Linked DNA regions of Arabidopsis thaliana. The protein of the gene in region 1 purifies or fractionates together with the protein of each later gene. This does not show direct contact. Each region holds a gene or a part of one and is shown in the gene's direction. Other genes may lie near its edges.

The links. The genes of interacting proteins can lie anywhere in the genome.
Region 2: the proteins of AT4G23460 (region 1) and AT5G46630 purify together in Arabidopsis thaliana (affinity purification with mass spectrometry; 2 studies listed by BioGRID, with this or other methods). This does not show direct contact.
Region 3: the proteins of AT4G23460 (region 1) and alpha-ADR purify together in Arabidopsis thaliana (affinity purification with mass spectrometry; 2 studies listed by BioGRID, with this or other methods). This does not show direct contact.

The regions. Positions count from the first base shown.
Region 1 is NC_003075.7:12,243,138-12,250,715, reverse strand, and holds AT4G23460 (Adaptin family protein), read left to right. Parts: upstream 1-1,697; 5' UTR 1,698-1,817; coding exon 1,818-1,904; intron 1,905-2,347; coding exon 2,348-2,545; intron 2,546-2,580; exon of another isoform or gene 2,581-2,600; coding exon of another isoform or gene 2,601-2,603; intron 2,604-2,692; coding exon 2,693-2,806; intron 2,807-2,937; coding exon 2,938-3,188; intron 3,189-3,560; coding exon 3,561-3,696; intron 3,697-3,828; coding exon 3,829-4,008; intron 4,009-4,096; coding exon 4,097-4,189; intron 4,190-4,281; coding exon 4,282-4,493; intron 4,494-4,567; coding exon 4,568-4,631; intron 4,632-4,733; coding exon 4,734-4,913; intron 4,914-5,016; coding exon 5,017-5,109; intron 5,110-5,215; coding exon 5,216-5,595; intron 5,596-5,735; coding exon 5,736-5,925; intron 5,926-6,012; coding exon 6,013-6,216; intron 6,217-6,517; coding exon 6,518-6,817; 3' UTR 6,818-7,045; downstream 7,046-7,578. Other genes in the region: AT4G23470 (PLAC8 family protein), read right to left, coding at 1-15, 114-238, 344-439, 674-755, 842-898, 1,225-1,246, 1,331-1,427. UniProt on the Arabidopsis thaliana protein: Subunit of clathrin-associated adaptor protein complex that plays a role in protein sorting in the late-Golgi/trans-Golgi network (TGN) and/or endosomes.
Region 2 is NC_003076.8:18,918,824-18,923,976, forward strand, and holds AT5G46630 (Clathrin adaptor complexes medium subunit family protein), read left to right. Parts: upstream 1-1,614; 5' UTR 1,615-1,756; coding exon 1,757-1,839; intron 1,840-2,006; coding exon 2,007-2,184; intron 2,185-2,299; coding exon 2,300-2,390; intron 2,391-2,514; coding exon 2,515-2,609; intron 2,610-2,762; coding exon 2,763-2,852; intron 2,853-2,936; coding exon 2,937-2,985; intron 2,986-3,077; coding exon 3,078-3,216; intron 3,217-3,291; coding exon 3,292-3,408; intron 3,409-3,479; coding exon 3,480-3,570; intron 3,571-3,661; coding exon 3,662-3,804; intron 3,805-3,899; coding exon 3,900-4,014; intron 4,015-4,102; coding exon 4,103-4,237; 3' UTR 4,238-4,348; coding exon of another isoform or gene 4,349-4,429; 3' UTR 4,430-4,622; downstream 4,623-5,153. Other genes in the region: AT5G46620 (uncharacterized protein), read right to left, coding at 30-305. UniProt on the Arabidopsis thaliana protein: Subunit of the adaptor protein complex 2 (AP-2). Adaptor protein complexes function in protein transport via transport vesicles in different membrane traffic pathways.
Region 3 is NC_003076.8:7,585,292-7,590,192, reverse strand, and holds the start of alpha-ADR (alpha-adaptin), read left to right. Parts: upstream 1-1,870; 5' UTR 1,871-2,166; coding exon 2,167-2,292; intron 2,293-3,034; coding exon 3,035-3,166; intron 3,167-3,517; coding exon 3,518-3,643; intron 3,644-3,856; coding exon 3,857-3,919; intron 3,920-4,001; coding exon 4,002-4,099; intron 4,100-4,179; coding exon 4,180-4,387; intron 4,388-4,585; coding exon 4,586-4,657; intron 4,658-4,737; coding exon 4,738-4,830; intron 4,831-4,901. Other genes in the region: AT5G22780 (Adaptor protein complex AP-2, alpha subunit), read left to right, coding at 1-93; AT5G22785 (uncharacterized protein), read right to left, coding at 349-477, 488-550. UniProt on the Arabidopsis thaliana protein: Subunit of the adaptor protein complex 2 (AP-2). Adaptor protein complexes function in protein transport via transport vesicles in different membrane traffic pathways.

The DNA.
Region 1 (7,578 bases):
ATACATGCGCAAACCCTGCAGACCAAGCAAAGTACGATATATCAGGACAATAGGTTAAAATTGGGTTTTGATCGAAACTTATAAGAATGGCACTTTGGATGGGGGATTCTTACGTGCAGTACACCATGTCAGAGCAACATGTGAGTATCTGAGAAGCTTCTGAAAGCTCATCCATACCGACAATACATGCAACTATGGAGAATATGCAAGCCACTTGGCTGAGGCAAACCATGAAACCCTACACAGCCAAAAAGCCAGCACAGATTACGAAACTTGTTTATCGTGTTTGTAATTGCTTGTGAGTGTCAGTAACAGGCATGGTCTGGGCAATGAGGATACTTACAATGATGCAGTTGTCACATTTTGTCGTTTGAATTTGGAACTCATCTTGCAGAAGAAAGCGAGTTGAGGCCACAGAGTTTGCAAAGCAGCAGAAGACCTGCGATTGATCTGCTATTTAGAAGACCAGAAATTTGCTAAAATTTCGCGAGGTTGCCTCACAAGTCACACCTAGGTATGACTGAGATTGTATGCATATGCTACAGGAAGCATTCAGATGCTGAAATCGAAATTTCTAGACTAGCTGTGTCTATAGAAAAGACTTCATTTTTGTTGTCCAAAAAAAAAAAAGACTTCATTTGAAGATAATAGCTAACAAAATCAAGTTTCTTACCTCAGTGGCAAGACAAAGTTGAGGACATTTGGCTTCTCCACACCTACCACTACAAGGCATGTAACCGGCACAGCAGACGTACCTGCGAGACAAAAAAAACAATCTTCTTAAACTAAGAAGATGGAATTGGAATGGAGCTATATGAAAGTGACTGAATGTGTGATATACCTTGACATATCATCGTAAAGCGCACGCTTGCGAAGCAAGTATGATGCACAAGGGGCACTGCAATGAGAAGAAGAAGAAACAAGACATTTCCATATGTATGCTAAACATATCAGACCCAAAGAGATACACAAATCATACAATGTCAAACTCCTAATGCACTGAAATTATCACATACAATGATCAGAGAAACTCATATTATCTGTGAAATTCAGATCACTCCATACACATTTCTTGATGAAATGAAAATCAAGCCGATCTAAGAATTTAAATCGAAGTCAACTCTTGGTCAATTCAAATAAACCAAGATCCGACTACTACAAATATCCAAATTCCAAATACAGAGAGAACAAGCAACGAAAAATCTCAGATCAATCGAAACTTACCACCACAACGCGAAGCAACAATCTGCGAACAACACAGAAATCGATCAAATCAACAACCAAAACCAATCCAACCCACAAATTTCAAAAAGAGAGAGTGAGAAATTACAAGGAGTATCGTTCTGGATACTGTGGGTAAGATCGGTATGCCAAACATTACGGAAGTTCTTACGAAGCTCCATCTTCTCCATATCCTGTTTCGGCATTTTCACAAGGATCTGATTTCGACGACGAAATGAGGTCAAGCGAGAGAGAAGCGATTTAAGGATCAGAGACTCTTCGCGAAAAGTCTTTGAGAATCTGATCCACAATCACATCTAAAAGCTGTTCTCTCACAAACGTGTTTCTGACTTCATCTCTCTCATATCGACAACTTGAGAATACAAATTCTTCTTCTCCCCTCCCCTGGATGGCAACTGGCGTTGACTAGACGAAGTCACGAGGCAATTTCGTCAAATATCAATAATACTAGGGTTAAACTGTAATTAGTTTTATTTTAACCCCGACCTATTACTTTTTGCAATTTCGTGTCTTTGTGTCTCTTGTCACTGATCGTCTCGGAGGAGAAGAAGTGTGGAGGTTGAAGAAGGGAGAAAATGAGCGGTCATGATTCTAAATATTTTTCGACTACGAAGAAGGGAGAGATCCCTGAGCTCAAGGAAGAGCTGAATTCACAGTACAAGGTTCTTCTTCTCCGTCTAATTTCATATATGGATCTGTGATCCGCCATTTTCACGATTCTAATCTCATCTCTTTCTCGTTCGTTGAATTATGCATAATCATTTTCTGGTAGATCTGTATGATTATGGATTCGAATTGATCGGTTAATTTTGTTGATATTTTAGTTTGAAAGATTGATGATGGTGTACGTTATAATGTTATGTGTTCAATGGTTCATTTGAAACTATGTAGAAATGGAATGAAATTCAGAATAATGGTTAATGCGGGGATGTGTTTAGATTGGGGGATCATAAGTTTTGAATATGGATCAATGCAGTGGTTGGGCGATAGAAACAGTTCTTCTTTGAGTAGATGGTCCAATGGTTGTATATGGTACTGATTGAAGATGATGGAATGCGTTTTTGCTTCAGTTTCCTAAATTCTCTTTTTTTCTTTATGTTCCTAGGATAAGAGGAAAGATGCTGTTAAGAAGGTTATTGCGGCAATGACTGTTGGAAAGGATGTTTCATCACTTTTCACTGATGTAGTCAATTGCATGCAAACTGAGAATCTGGAGTTGAAGAAGCTTGTTTACTTGTATCTGATAAACTATGCAAAAAGCCAGCCAGATCTTGCTATCCTCGCTGTAAATACTTTTGTTAAGGTAACACTTCAGCTACTTTGCTTATATAGCCTACCCAAACATAAAGACCTAACATATGGCAAGTTTCTTGGTCTTTCTCTGATTTTGGTGGATGGAAAATTATTTAAGAAACTCATCGTTATTAAGTTCTCGCTTTGTATTTGGCAGGATTCACAAGACCCAAATCCATTGATCCGGGCTTTGGCTGTGCGAACGATGGGCTGTATTCGTGTTGATAAGATTACAGAATATTTGTGTGATCCTCTTCAGAAATGCCTAAAGGTTGAGTTTTTAATGCTACCTTGTCACTGCACCTTGTAGCAAATATTTATGTCCCTCAAGAATTTTTTTATTCTTTGACTGATGACATATTTCTGTATTTTCTGGCATGTTGCAATTTTTTTATTTTTCAGGATGATGATCCATATGTCCGCAAGACAGCAGCTATTTGTGTTGCTAAACTGTTTGACATAAATGCTGAATTAGTTGAGGATAGGGGGTTCCTGGAAGCCTTAAAGGATTTAATATCAGACAATAATCCAATGGTTGTGGCAAATGCTGTAGCTGCCCTTGCAGAGATCCAAGAGAATAGTACTAGTCCCATATTTGAAATCAATAGTACCATCCTCACAAAGCTCCTTACAGCTTTGAATGAATGTACTGAGTAAGTCGTTCCTGATTTCCATCTCTTACTTTCACTCAGATTGTGTATGATTGACTAATTTTAGTCAGATCATATTAGGTTTTGTTTTCGGAGAACAGACAGGCTGGCCTAAATATTCACAGTAGGATAATCTGTTGAGTTGCGGACTTGCTTCTTGTGTTAAAGCATCAGTTTATCTATGCATTTTGTTCTGTATCTAACCTAAAATTGTGACAGAACTTTGTTGTTATTGAAGTTGAAGGTTTTCTGTGTAGATAAAGGACTCATGGTTTTGAACATTGGGGAAAGGGATCCATAAAGCGACTATTGTTTCCTTTTGCTGTATACATATTTATAGCTTTCAATTTTTAATACTGTTTGTGTTCTTCACAGATGGGGTCAAGTTTTTATATTAGATGCTTTGTCGAGGTATAAGGCATCTGATCCTCGTGAAGCTGAAAATATTGTTGAGAGAGTCACTCCAAGGTTGCAACATGCCAACTGTGCTGTTGTGCTTTCAGCTGTTAAGGTGACACTTTCAAAATATATACTTCTCTCTGGAATGTCACCTGTTCGCCAGTCAAAATTGTTTATGAAGTGTCAACTATATTCCCTTACATAATTTTCTAATGCCAGTCCTCTTTATTTCATTGCTTTCCAGATGATCCTTCAGCAGATGGAGCTTATTACTAGCACAGATGTGATTCGAAATCTTTGCAAGAAGATGGCTCCTCCCCTAGTTACATTGCTTTCTGCAGAACCTGAGATACAGTATGTTGCACTTCGTAACATTAACCTTATTGTCCAAAAGAGACCCACTATTCTTGCCCATGAAATCAAGGTAGCTTGATCCTGTCTCGTAGACTCTCCGAAATAAGCAATTGATATATTCTTATATTTGTTGATAATGCTTCATGGTTTTATTGCAGGTGTTCTTCTGCAAGTATAATGATCCGATATATGTTAAGATGGAGAAGTTAGAGATTATGATAAAACTTGCTTCTGACAGAAACATAGACCAGGTAATCCTTACTACACTTTTATCATCTGCCGTTTGTCCAAGTTATTTTGTTTTGGTGCACATCATGATGGTTTCTAGACCATTCCAATGTAGGTTCTTCTGGAGTTCAAAGAATATGCCACGGAAGTAGATGTTGATTTTGTTCGGAAGGCTGTTCGTGCTATAGGCCGATGTGCCATCAAACTAGAAAGAGCAGCTGAACGGTGCATCAGTGTTTTACTTGAGCTGATCAAGATCAAAGTAAACTACGTTGTGCAGGAGGCCATTATAGTCATCAAAGATATCTTTAGAAGATATCCAAATACGTAAGTTGATTTTGGCCTCCTGAAGTGCTGTAATTCTTTTTAATCTTGGCTATGTCTTTTAAAATAATGTGCAGGTATGAGTCCATAATCGCAACACTCTGTGAGAGTCTAGACACATTGGATGAACCAGAAGCTAAGGTAACAAAATTTGTCGTTTGGGTAGTGTATATTAGCTGGAAGCTTCTCCATCGCAAATATAATCGGTGAAACTCATACTTGTATTTGTTGGCATCTTGAAAGGCATCTATGATTTGGATCATTGGTGAATATGCTGAAAGAATCGACAATGCGGATGAACTTCTTGAAAGCTTCCTGGAGAATTTCCCTGAGGAACCAGCACAAGTCCAACTGCAGCTTCTTACAGCTACAGTCAAACTATTTCTGAAGAAGCCAACTGAAGGCCCACAACAAATGATTCAGGTTCTGCCATGACCATTATGAAGACTACCTTTTGCTCTCCTAATCGATTAAAGCGCATGTATTTGACGACAGGCCTGGCTTTTGCCATGTTTCAATTTTTCAGGTTGTCTTGAATAATGCTACTGTTGAAACAGATAATCCTGATCTCAGGGATCGTGCATACATCTACTGGCGTCTTCTATCGACTGATCCTGAGGTATGTTTTCTTAATATATTCTACTAAACTAGTTCAAGGACATTGGAGGATGAGCAACAATCATCTCTTTTACCTACAGTCATCAGTGCTCTTCTTTTGACTATAGGCGGCCAAGGATGTTGTTTTAGCTGAAAAGCCTGTGATTACTGATGACTCAAACCAACTTGATCCGTCGCTCCTGGATGAGCTACTTGCAAATATATCCACCTTGTCCTCTGTGTATCACAAGCCGCCAGAGGCTTTTGTAACCCGCTTGAAAACCACAGTTCAGAAAACGGAGGATGAGGATTATGTAGAAGGGAGCGAAACAGGATATCCCGAGGCATCTGGTAATCCGGTTGATGGTGCAGCTTCCCCGTCAGCTACCACAGGCTATGTCACAAAGCTAGCTGCTGCCCCAGCTCCTGTACCCGATCTGCTAGGTGACCTAATGGGGTCAGATAATGCTGCAATCGTCCCTGTAGATGAACCCACAACTCCGTCAGGGTGAGTTTTGAATGGTGAAAATTACATTAAAAGTCTCTCTCACAGTTGGGGTGTGCGATGGACTGGTTTTATTCAATCATATCTATTTGGATCACCTTGTTGTTTATAAAACTCATTGAATCACCTAATATTGTTTGCAGTCGTCCACTGCCTGTTGTCCTACCAGCATCAAAGGGTCAAGGTCTGCAGATTAGCGCTCAATTAACCCGACAAGATGGTCAAGTATTCTACAGTATGCTCCTCGAGAACAACTCGCAGTCACTTCTTGATGGCTTCATGATTCAGTTCAACAAAAACTCATTCGGCCTTGCAGCTGTCGGATCACTTCAGGTAATAGTAGTTGGATATGCTCTACATCTACGCCTATTATATATCCTGGATTCCTGAAACTGATGTCCAGGTTTTGTACTATTATAGGTTCCGCCTCTGCAACCCGGAGCATCTGCCAGGACAATGATGCCAATGGTATTGTCCCAAAACATGTCTACTGGCTCCACCAGCTCGGTATTGCAAGTTGCCGTCAAAAACAACCAGCAGCCTGTCTGGTACTTCGAGGATAAGATTGTACTTAACGCTCTTTTCTCAGAAGATGGTCGGATGGAGCGCGGAACCTTCCTCGAGGTAAAAGACTAATATATGATAAAGAGTTCATTAACAATACAGCACCATGTTAGTCATTGACTAATAGTGGAGAGGGCTTATGATATTAAGATGGGCGAGTAATTAGTGACAGATTTTGTGCCTTAAGAAGCCTGGGGGAGTTAGGGTGCTGTAGATCTTAACATATGATATGGTTTTCATCGATTTAAGTTTCTAGACTCAGTAAGAACTGAAGGAAGATATTGATTTCTGATCATAACTATATACCACAGTCTTAAAAACCAGTTCTTCTGAGTTATAAAACATTTGTTTTTTTGATTAGACATGGAAATCGTTACCGGATTCAAACGAGGTGCAGAAAGAATTCCCCGGGATAACCATCACGAGCGTGGAGTCAACACTTGATTTACTCGCCGCATCAAACATGTTCTTCATAGCAAAGCGTAAGAATGGGAACCAAGACGTCCTCTATCTTTCGGCCAAGGTACCAAGAGGCATACCGTTCCTGATCGAACTAACGGCCATAGTGGGTCAACCTGGTCTGAAATGTGCAGTCAAGACTCCAACCCCTGAGATCGCTCCTCTCTTCTTTGAAGCAGTCGAAATTCTCTTCAAGGCTTGATTTGATTTTACACTGCCCTAAGGTAAGCAAATTTCTTCTTTTAGTGTATGTAGTAAGTGAATTGTTGCCGACTTCTTGTTTCTAATTTTTGTGTTGGAACCCACTCGTTTTTTTATTCTCGTAAGAGCTTTGATTTTTGATGTTGTCGTTGCGTATATGCCCCAAAAGGTTTTTGATTAAACTAGTGTGATAATGACTTATTATCAGCAAATGCTATTTTTAGTGTTCAGTGACCGACATGAAATCAAAAAGTTTCCTAAGTGGAGCGAAGAGATTCGTACACGTAAACCAGTTGAGAATTTGGTACCTTCTTCACAACAGATAGGCGTAGATAGATAGATACTGGGCCCGTAATGCGACGTAGCAATTTCCTAATATCAATATCAATCATGATTTCCTGTAACATGCGGTTACAAAATAGCTTCGTCGAAACTAATCTTCTTTTAATTATCGATTGATTATTAAATCAATTCAAAACCAAAACTAATTGAAAATTTTAAAGCTTGAGGGGGACTAATAGTAACGTGAGATTGAAGTAATGCCACCGAATATAAGGGTTGAGTAAGGGCGCTACACGCCATCACATAAAAGGGATTATACTATCAATCAACTAATATTTTTGTAACTTAAAATGAAATACCAAAGTTTCGACATTATTGGTTTATGAAAGCTCACCATTGTATTTTAATTTGATCAAAACTATACATTTTAGTTGAGACCGTAAGTACAACAAAGGTCCAAGCTTGAAAATACTTTTTTAG
Region 2 (5,153 bases), on another chromosome or scaffold:
AATATCATCAGTCAAAAAGGAAAACTGACCTGAACACCACCGTCTAAAGCAGCACAAGGCTGAAGAATAGGACCAGGATTCGACCGTTCAACAGCAACTTGAACCGGTACACCAAAACCTTTCCTTGGTCCAGTTTCACGAAATCTCGTCTGATTCTCTTCCCGACGTTTATCTCCATCACCAGAAACAGTTCCAGTGTTGTTATCTCCACCATCACCATCTTCATCTCTCACAGCTCCATGACCACCACCACCATCGTTATGACCAAAACCAAGTATACCCGTTAACTTCTTCAAAAAACCCATTAACCCCAGATATCAAATTCGATCTAAAGCCCTCAAATTTAACAGCTTTTCTCTCAAATGAATGATCTTCCAAAATTAGGGTTTTCGAATATCCCTTTCCTCTCCCGATTTTTGCTACTTTCTCCGATCGCTTCTTAATCCAACAATATTCATTTCCTACTGTTAAAACCCAGAAATCTCTGTCTTTAATCTCTCTCTCTCGTGAACACTGTGTTAATCTTCTTATGCACTGCAACAAATTATAGAAAGATGAATTTTTTTTTGGATCAAAGACGGATCGAGCAAGATCTTCTTTTTATCATTAACGGCGCGGTTTCTATTAATATACTAAATAAATATTCCACATTTTTTTTTTCTCTCGTGAGTGAACAAAAAAAAAAATTGCGATCATTTACAGTTTTACTTTTACACATCACTGACATCAGAGAGAATTGAACAAAAAAAATTCGAAAAGTTTCGTGTTAATCATATATATGAAAGTTGGCTAACTCTCTCCAAATGATTGACACATCATCATTTTAGCATTTGCCATGTGTCTATTAAGTAATTAATGTAAGCTCTTCAACTTCTAATTTATAAGTTAATGATATATTTATTATTTAATTTTACATATTTAATTATAGTATTACTAAATTTATTTTAATATTACATGATTTTTCAATAAAACCATTTAATAGTTTTCTCATACTCGAAGATTTTTTTTTGTAATCCAAACTCAAAGTATGAGTATATAATAGTCGTGGATTATTTAATGATTTGAGTAAGTTATTTTCTTAAATTGATATTATATTCTCTTAAATTTATATTTATACAATAAATCATTGAGGTTGAAGAATACGTAAGGAGCTCCATCATCAAATTCTTAGGTTTCTAGAATCCAAAACTACCCTCTCTTAAGTTGGTTTAATACAAACGTTATTTATGAATTATGTGTATGATGCATTGTTGAGAATGTTGTTAGAAAAAATATTTTTAAAATTAAAAGGAATTGTTTATTGTATAAGTGAATAATTAGATAAATAAAAATTATATTTAAATTAAACAATACGAAAAAAATCCGAAAATACCGCGGCGTAGCGCAGGTGATCACCTAGTGTTAATAATTGAAAATTAAGAACTTCTATACATTGTTTGTTACCTAACCATTCTTCATATGTAAACAACAATTAAAAATGATGAAGGATATAATGTACTACAGGCCCATAATTGAGACGCACAGGCCCAGAATCGAATAAGACCGGCCCATTCCAAAATGACGACTGAATTCAATTTTGTTTCTATTTTTTGATAAAAAAGAAATTAAAAAAATATCGCATTTCAGTTGTTCAACTTCTTCGTCGTCGTCTTCTTCCTTTGCTCCGTCGTCGAGATCTCGTCGAACCTCAAATCTCAAATCTCCTGTAACCAGATCGTCTAATTATCCGATCTGCGTTTCGAATCTCAGATCGAAGATGCCGGTGGCTGCTTCCGCCATCTATTTTCTGAATCTCCGTGGCGATGTACTCATAAATCGCACCTACCGAGATGACGTCGGGTAAGAGAGCTTCTCCTTTTCTTCACCGTCGATCTCTTTAATTTTTTGAATTCGGCTTCATTTTCAGCTCCATGTTTTGTTCTTATCGCTTCTAAGTAGTCGTACTTTGTAGGATTTTAGCTGTGAGATTTGAGATTTTAAAATTTTGATTTGATTTTGATACTTAGGGGAAACATGGTGGATGCATTTCGTACGCATATAATGCAGACGAAAGAGTTAGGGAATTGTCCTGTGCGTCAGATTGGTGGCTGCTCCTTTGTTTATATGCGAATCAGCAATGTCTACATCGTCATTGTTGTCAGTAGCAATGCTAATGTTGCTTGTGGATTCAAATTTGTTGTTGAGGTAAACTTGTTTTTGTGTTTCATTTTAATATTCCACAATTGTTTTGATTCTTGTTCAAATTTCAAGAGAGTCAGATTGATTCTATACACATACTGCTTTTGATTCACATTTTCAGGCTGTAGCTTTGTTCAAATCATACTTTGGTGGAGCTTTTGATGAAGACGCTATTAGAAATAACTTTGTTCTGATTTATGAATTGTTGGATGGTAAGTAAGCCTGATAGGGTCATGATCAAATCACTTTCTTATCACTTGTAAAGTTGCATTAGTCGTTATATGTTATTCTATTTTGTGGTAACACCAATGAATGATATTTTGTATTGAATTGCAGAGATTATGGACTTTGGCTATCCACAAAATCTCTCACCTGAAATTTTAAAACTTTATATCACTCAGGAAGGTGTACGGTCACCATTTTCATCGAAGGTAAAGGCATCTATTTGTTTGTGTATACAACAGATTTTGTAATTGTGTTGGTGTGTGGTTCTTCGAAGTTAAGCAGTATTTCCCGCAATAAATAGAGATTATGTTGCTTCTTCACTAGATATGTTTGCATTCATAAGCTTCTTTTCATTACAGCCAAAAGACAAACCTGTTCCAAATGCAACATTACAAGTTACAGGTGCTGTTGGTTGGAGAAGAGAGGGCCTTGCTTACAAAAAGAATGAGGTGAGTGTTGAGTTTCTTTCTGTGTGTATGTAGATCGGCTAGGTTGTGCGGTAGTGATGATATTTTGCATTCTCTCAAACGCAGGTGTTTCTGGATATTGTGGAAAGTGTAAACCTTCTGATGTCCTCTAAAGGTAAATAATTGCCTTTTATGAAGTTTTTTGAAGTTGTCTTTCTTGTTGATTTGCTGTGTATGACTGGTTTTGCATTTTATGGAAACGGTTAGGCAATGTTCTTCGGTGTGATGTGACGGGGAAGGTTTTAATGAAATGTTTCCTTTCGGGAATGCCTGATTTGAAGTTGGGGTTGAATGATAAAATTGGTCTTGAGAAGGAATCAGAAATGAAATCTCGCCCAGCTAAGAGGTATACGTTGTTAATACATTGAACATCAGTAGCCACTGACTTTTCTTTGTGCTAACTGACTCTCGTTTTGTGCAGTGGTAAAACCATTGAGCTTGATGATGTCACATTTCACCAGTGTGTGAACCTGACCAGATTCAACTCCGAGAAGACTGTTAGTTTTGTACCACCGGATGGAGAGTTTGAACTGATGAAGTAAGTTTTCGAATGTCCACTGTTGCAAATTGTTCTGGTACCAAATGTGTATTAACTTTATGATGTCTCAGGTATCGAATAACAGAGGGTGTAAATCTGCCTTTCCGTGTATTACCAACAATCAAAGAACTTGGTCGTACACGTATGGAAGTAAATGTCAAGGTACATAACTTTTCTCAAGGATTACAGGATACAAAAAAATTGGCTTGATCTTTGCTCTCTTACAATCCCTTCCCGTGTTTTGTCTGTTCAGGTCAAAAGTGTGTTTGGTGCTAAAATGTTTGCCCTTGGGGTCGTGGTTAAAATTCCAGTGCCAAAACAAACAGCCAAGACCAATTTCCAAGTGACAACTGGTCGCGCTAAATACAATCCATCAATCGATTGCTTGGTTTGGAAGTGAGTTTATATAATTTCCCCTCATATTCATCTCTATAATTCTTTTGTTGGTGTTTTATCAATCATTCGGCATCTTTCTCTCTTTTACTCTTTAGGATAAGAAAATTCCCAGGGCAAACAGAGTCCACGCTAAGTGCAGAAATTGAGTTGATCTCAACAATGGGAGAGAAGAAATCTTGGACAAGGCCACCGATCCAAATGGAATTTCAGGTCAGTCTTTGTCTCTTTTAGGCACTGTTAAATAGAACCAGATTTGCTTAAAGCAATTATTAACCGTCTCAGCTTTGTTCTTTTCTAGGTGCCAATGTTCACAGCATCTGGTCTGCGAGTTCGTTTTCTCAAGGTACGCATTGTTATCTATGCTTTTGAAAGTACCATCCTTCCAAAAAATGCAATGCTAAGTAGCAGAATCTCTAAGCCATTGTGTCATTAAATCCGTTCAAATCTTTTATGTGATTTGCGTTTTGGTTAATCTGTCTCTGGTCTTTCAAAAATTGATTGCTATACTACTTTTTTGGACCTGACTATCCGGAACGATTGGCAGGTTTGGGAGAAGAGCGGTTACAACACGGTCGAGTGGGTTCGATACATAACGAAAGCGGGATCTTACGAGATCAGATGCTGAACATTAAACACAGTTCAGGTTCAGTGACATCAGACTTAAAAGTTTCATGGCTTCTAGTTTTTTGTTCCTTATGCAAAACAAAAACAAAAGAGTTAAATATGTTTTATACCTTGTTTTATGTTTGTTTTGTCGATTAGAGATATCTGTGTTAATATGATTTCTTATGTCTTAATTTGGTATTGAATTCTGTTTTTCTTTCTTTCTCTGTTTGTGAAATTGTACGAGATATAGTTTAGATTAATTCTGGTGTAATCGAACGTGATAGAGTATTTGTGAAAGCAGTCGGATTCTTTTTAGTAGTAGAATCGGGTGTAATATGTTAATGAAAACAAATTTTACTTGAGAATAGTTCGAACTTCGAAGGTTTTTACACATAACATAGATCGTTAAAATCTTTTGTAAGTCTACTAATTCTTCAGAAACAAACGGGAAATTGTAAAAGTAATAGACTATCAAAGCTACACCCAAGTACGTCTTTCACTCGTGGTTGGTTATGCATGATCGAATTTCTATAACTTCGCTTATGGCAAATGTGGTCATGGTGGTTCTTTGGACTGTGTCATGTGGCTCTCTGCCCACAAGACACCAGATATCATGGATACTTTGCTACTCACATGCAACTCAAATATGGTCTAAGACAACAAACATGATTCTATTGAACTGCTTCTCCATCGATTGGGATCACCTCGTCGGTATTCTGAAATCCACAAGCTGGGTGTCTTGT
Region 3 (4,901 bases), on another chromosome or scaffold:
GCAGCAGGTCCAGCACCATCACCAGCAGTTCAACCGCCTAGCCCAGCGGCTTTAGCTGATGATCCAGGAGCTATGCTTGCTGGCTTACTTTAAATTCATTGGGATAAAAGATTACTTGCACATGTCGAAAAGTTTGTTTTCTGTTATTGTAGAATGTAATGGCGAAAATATGGAATGATGGGAGAGTAAATGTAGAGCCAAGGGAGAGAAAAAAGCTAGTTTTGATTATATTTGTGCCGTTTATCCAAAGCGGGCGGGTTGCGTTAGGTAAGAAATTTTGCATTCATTCTGAACATTTGTATTGTGAGGTCAGTGGTTGTATCAGCTTGTTCTTGTGCCTATATATTTTCAATCTGTTTCTCCATGAGTTTTCTGATGGGAGGTCTGTTTTTTCGCACCAGCCTTCACATTGAGAGATTTTAATGTTGTCATAAAGGGGGGAAATTGCAAAAACACATCCAACGCATAGCATTTCACCTGTAAAAACCTGATCTAATTTGAGGTGTGAATAGAGTGGGGACTTGGCCTTGGTGGGACATTCAACCGACATATATACAACCAGATTTTTACTATTACTTTGAAGAATATAATTGAAAGAAAATTTTTTTTTTACTATTTTTAATTTTCTTACAAACTGCTTATGGATTTAAAAGCTGTTTTATCAATTTTTGCATGATTTTTTTTTGTTTTTACTACATAATTTGTAATTGACAAAAGTATGATTTTTTTATATTACTATATCATTTGTAATTTTGCAAATAAAAAAAAATATAAGAACCCTAGATCCGGGGCTTGTGAAACAAGAGTGATTAAGCAAAATTTGAGTAAGTCTGACTTTTGCAAGTTTGCTTCACCAACATCAATGTCGCTCAAGTTGAAGAAGCAACTTCTCTTAAAGTATCGAATACCCTAAAATTTGTCATGCCTTGAAGAAAAACTCAACCGAGATATTGGAGCTGTTCGAAATACCTAAGAAATCAGCCGATGTTGCTAACGCAAAGGGACAATATCTTCCATAAAACTAAAAATGTTCAATAAGCAGGGCCGACCCAAATCTAAAGCCCAGCAAGCTGATGCTTTATCATCACAATCATATAAAAGCCTTGTAGTTTAATGGTTGGTGCTTCCATTAGTTATATAAGTTTACGAGTTCGATACTCAAACTGCCAAACAACAACATCCTAGGAGCATACGCTATCGCCGTCACTGCTTTTCTAGCTCAACAATTCGTCCTATTCATCGTCTTGTAGATTATGATCTTGTTATGAGACACATTTAGTATTTCAAAAACGAGAGTAGTGACAATACTTTCCTATTCACCAGAGTAATTTGGTTGCAATGATTCTAGCAAAATTGTTATCTGAAATATAGAGTATCTAAAATCTTTATTCAAAAGATTTCATAATACATTGAGTAAAATTATAAAATGCTCATAACAAAAAATAATCAAATCAGCACTGCGTATAAACCATTTGTTTCGTTCCCACTAATACCAACAAATACCATGTCTGACGAAAAAAAAAAAAAAAAAGTTGGGACCAGCTAAACCATTGCATGACCTGACCTGACCCGAATTCATAACCGGATTTTCTCATGGTACATTTTTTTTGTTAAGGATTTTCTCATGGTACATTGAATTACAACTGAATGCATTGACCGCGACAGAAAACAGTCATTTTAAAAATAAATGAAAAAGTGAAACCAGAAACAGCAGTAAATAAATATTACCCAAAAAGGCAGAAGGATACACTTTTTAACAAAATATTACGCAAACTTATAAATCCTCAAATTTAGTCCAAATGTCTAGACGCGTTAATTCTGTTTTTCGACGGGTCAATTTCGGATTCCAATTTCAAAACAGACAAAAACTGAATTACACAAAATTGAATAGTCAAAGTTGTAAATAAAGAAAAATAAAAGTCGTCTCTCGTCTCTCTCCCGCAGGCGTGTCTCTCTTCTCCAAAGATCAGTCTCTCCTTTTGAATTTCTTCGATTGAAGGTGCCATTTTCCGTTTCTAGATTGGGATTTCGATCTCACCTCTCTCGAATTGCTTATGCTTCAGCTTTAGTCTGTGGTTTATCTCGTAGTTAGATCCGGTGCCGCGAGTTTGGATCTGCGCCGTGTGAGGCGGCGGAGCACGGTGGATTTGAGGATTTGGTTCAACCATGACCGGAATGAGAGGTCTCTCCGTATTTATCAGCGACGTTCGTAATTGCCAGAACAAGGAAGCGGAGAGACTACGAGTTGATAAGGAGCTCGGAAACATTCGTACATGCTTCAAGAATGAGAAGGTTACTCTCAATTCTCTCCATTCTATTTTCTATGTTTTGATTCTCATTAGAGAGGTAATTCAGTGTCGAGTATCCGCTGAGGTTTTGGTTTATTAGAGATATTGGAGATTTATCCTTCGCAGTTGCAATGCCAATGCAATCGAATGTTAGAGCTATTAGGTTGATTAGGGAGTTAGATAAGAATGTAGATGAAACAAAGATACAGTCACTGGTCACATGCCGAGTGGATAGTTTTGGAGCTTGTAGTTTCTTACTTTATCGGATTGAGGCAATAAATTTTGATTTAACACCAATTGTGAAAATAGATAGGCAGTATAATGTTGCCGTTGTATAGCTAGCTCAAATCCTTGTAGATTAGCAATTATTCTACCTTTTGAAACATCACTACTATTGCTTTCAACTTGGAATTTCATTACTGAATATATGATGACATTTAGGAACTAGAAGAAAAGAATGGTCTGGCAGTAAATTCGGTTATGTAGTGATGGTCTAAGAAATTAAATCATGGTCACGGAAAATTTTGAATAGCTCATTACGAAGTAGATTAAGCTTTGTTGCTGTAAGAACTTCTGGAGTGAAATTCTTGTTCCATCTTACACGTAGCAGAGCTGTAGCAGGCCTGTAGTGGATCCATGTGTTTCCAGTTGGACCAACATTAAACTTATTCTTTTTCGGGGTTCATGTTAGAAATGAATTAATCAAGAACTCTTTGATTACTTGACATTCTGTTTTATTTTTGCAGGTTTTGACACCATATAAAAAGAAGAAATATGTCTGGAAAATGCTTTATATACATATGCTAGGCTACGATGTGGATTTTGGCCATATGGAGGCGGTTTCTCTTATATCTGCGCCAAAGTATCCAGAAAAGCAGGTAAACCAACGTTTTGTTTGCTCAAACAAAGAAATTTTTCTTTGTAAGGCTAGGAGAAGATAATAGATGGAGGTGTTTGCTGAAATATATTCTATTGATCAAGCTGAAACAAAGAAAGTTTCATTGAAGATCACACAGTTAGATCTAGATACCATTTCATGCGTTTGCAACTTGACTTGACCTGGGAAAGTATTGCAGACAATTACTTATAAGCACGAGTTACTTAGTAACATCTTAGAAACTCTTAACCAGAACCATGCATTGTATCTCAAGGGTTTGTATTTCCAATTTATATTGTTTCATGCTCCTTAACTAATTTGCAGGTATTGAACTTTTCATCCATGATTACAGGTTGGCTACATTGTTACATCTTGCTTGCTCAATGAGAACCATGACTTTTTGAAGTTGGCAATAAATACAGTGCGGAACGATATTATTGGTCGGAATGAGACTTTCCAGTGCCTAGCACTGACCTTGGTATGTGGTCTTTTGTCCACCCTGTATTGAGATTTTAGAGCATAGTTAGGTTCTTCTGATTATAAGATGTTGTTAAATGACTGTTTTAATGGAAGTCTTTGGTACATTATGTCTTTTGTGCTCTATCATTTCACGATTCAGAGCCACTTACTTCATGAAACTGGTCCTTTCTTTCTAGCTTTCTTACCTTGCCATGCTTACGTTCTCCTGTAGGTTGGAAATATCGGTGGAAGGGATTTTGCTGAATCATTGGCACCTGATGTTCAAAAGCTACTTGTAAGTGACTCCTAAAGATGAGAGGTTATATTTTTTTCCAATATTACTAAACATATTATGTTATGGGGTCTCTTTGCTGCAGATTTCTAGTAGTTGCAGACCTCTTGTAAGGAAAAAAGCAGCACTGTGCCTACTGCGCTTATTCCGAAAAAATCCTGATGCTGTCAACGTGGATGGCTGGTGTGTATAACACTGTGGGGTTACTGGTTCTTTGATTTTACTAGTGCATCTTTCATATTCTCTTTGTCGTATACTTCCAGGGCGGATCGTATGGCACAACTTTTGGATGAACGAGATCTTGGTGTCTTGACGTCTTCTACGAGTCTTCTTGTAGCTCTGGTATCTAATAATCATGAGGCGTACTCAAGTTGTCTACCTAAATGTGTCAAAATATTAGAACGCCTTGCTAGGAACCAAGATGTTCCTCAGGAGTACACATACTATGGCATCCCATCTCCTTGGCTCCAGGTTTGACTTAACTCGGCTTATTCACTCTTGTTTAATAGCTTAAATATTCTTTAATCGCATCCTTTTCACAAATCCTGTGCATTTTAAACATTTTATGTGAAATTAGCTTATGAAAATAGAGGCTTGGCCCAGCTTTGGTGTATTTTTGTTACTCAGTTAAAGATATCGTGGATACTTATATATCTTTGGTTAGTACAGGTTAAGGCAATGAGGGCTCTTCAATATTTCCCGACCATTGAAGATCCCAGTACCAGAAAAGCTCTGTTTGAGGTTCAATATTTTCATGTGTAAATCTGTAATATATGTCTTTGAATTTCCTCTCATGGCATGGCATTTCATGGAAATTTCAGGTCCTTCAGCGAATATTGATGGGGACAGATGTTGTGAAAAATGTGAATAAAAACAATGCGTCTCATGCTGTGCTGTTTGAAGCTCTATCCCTGGTAAGTTCGTCGGATAGCTGGGGAAATGTTGATACCATGAATTTTACTAGTGGGCACCTATTTTTCTCTCT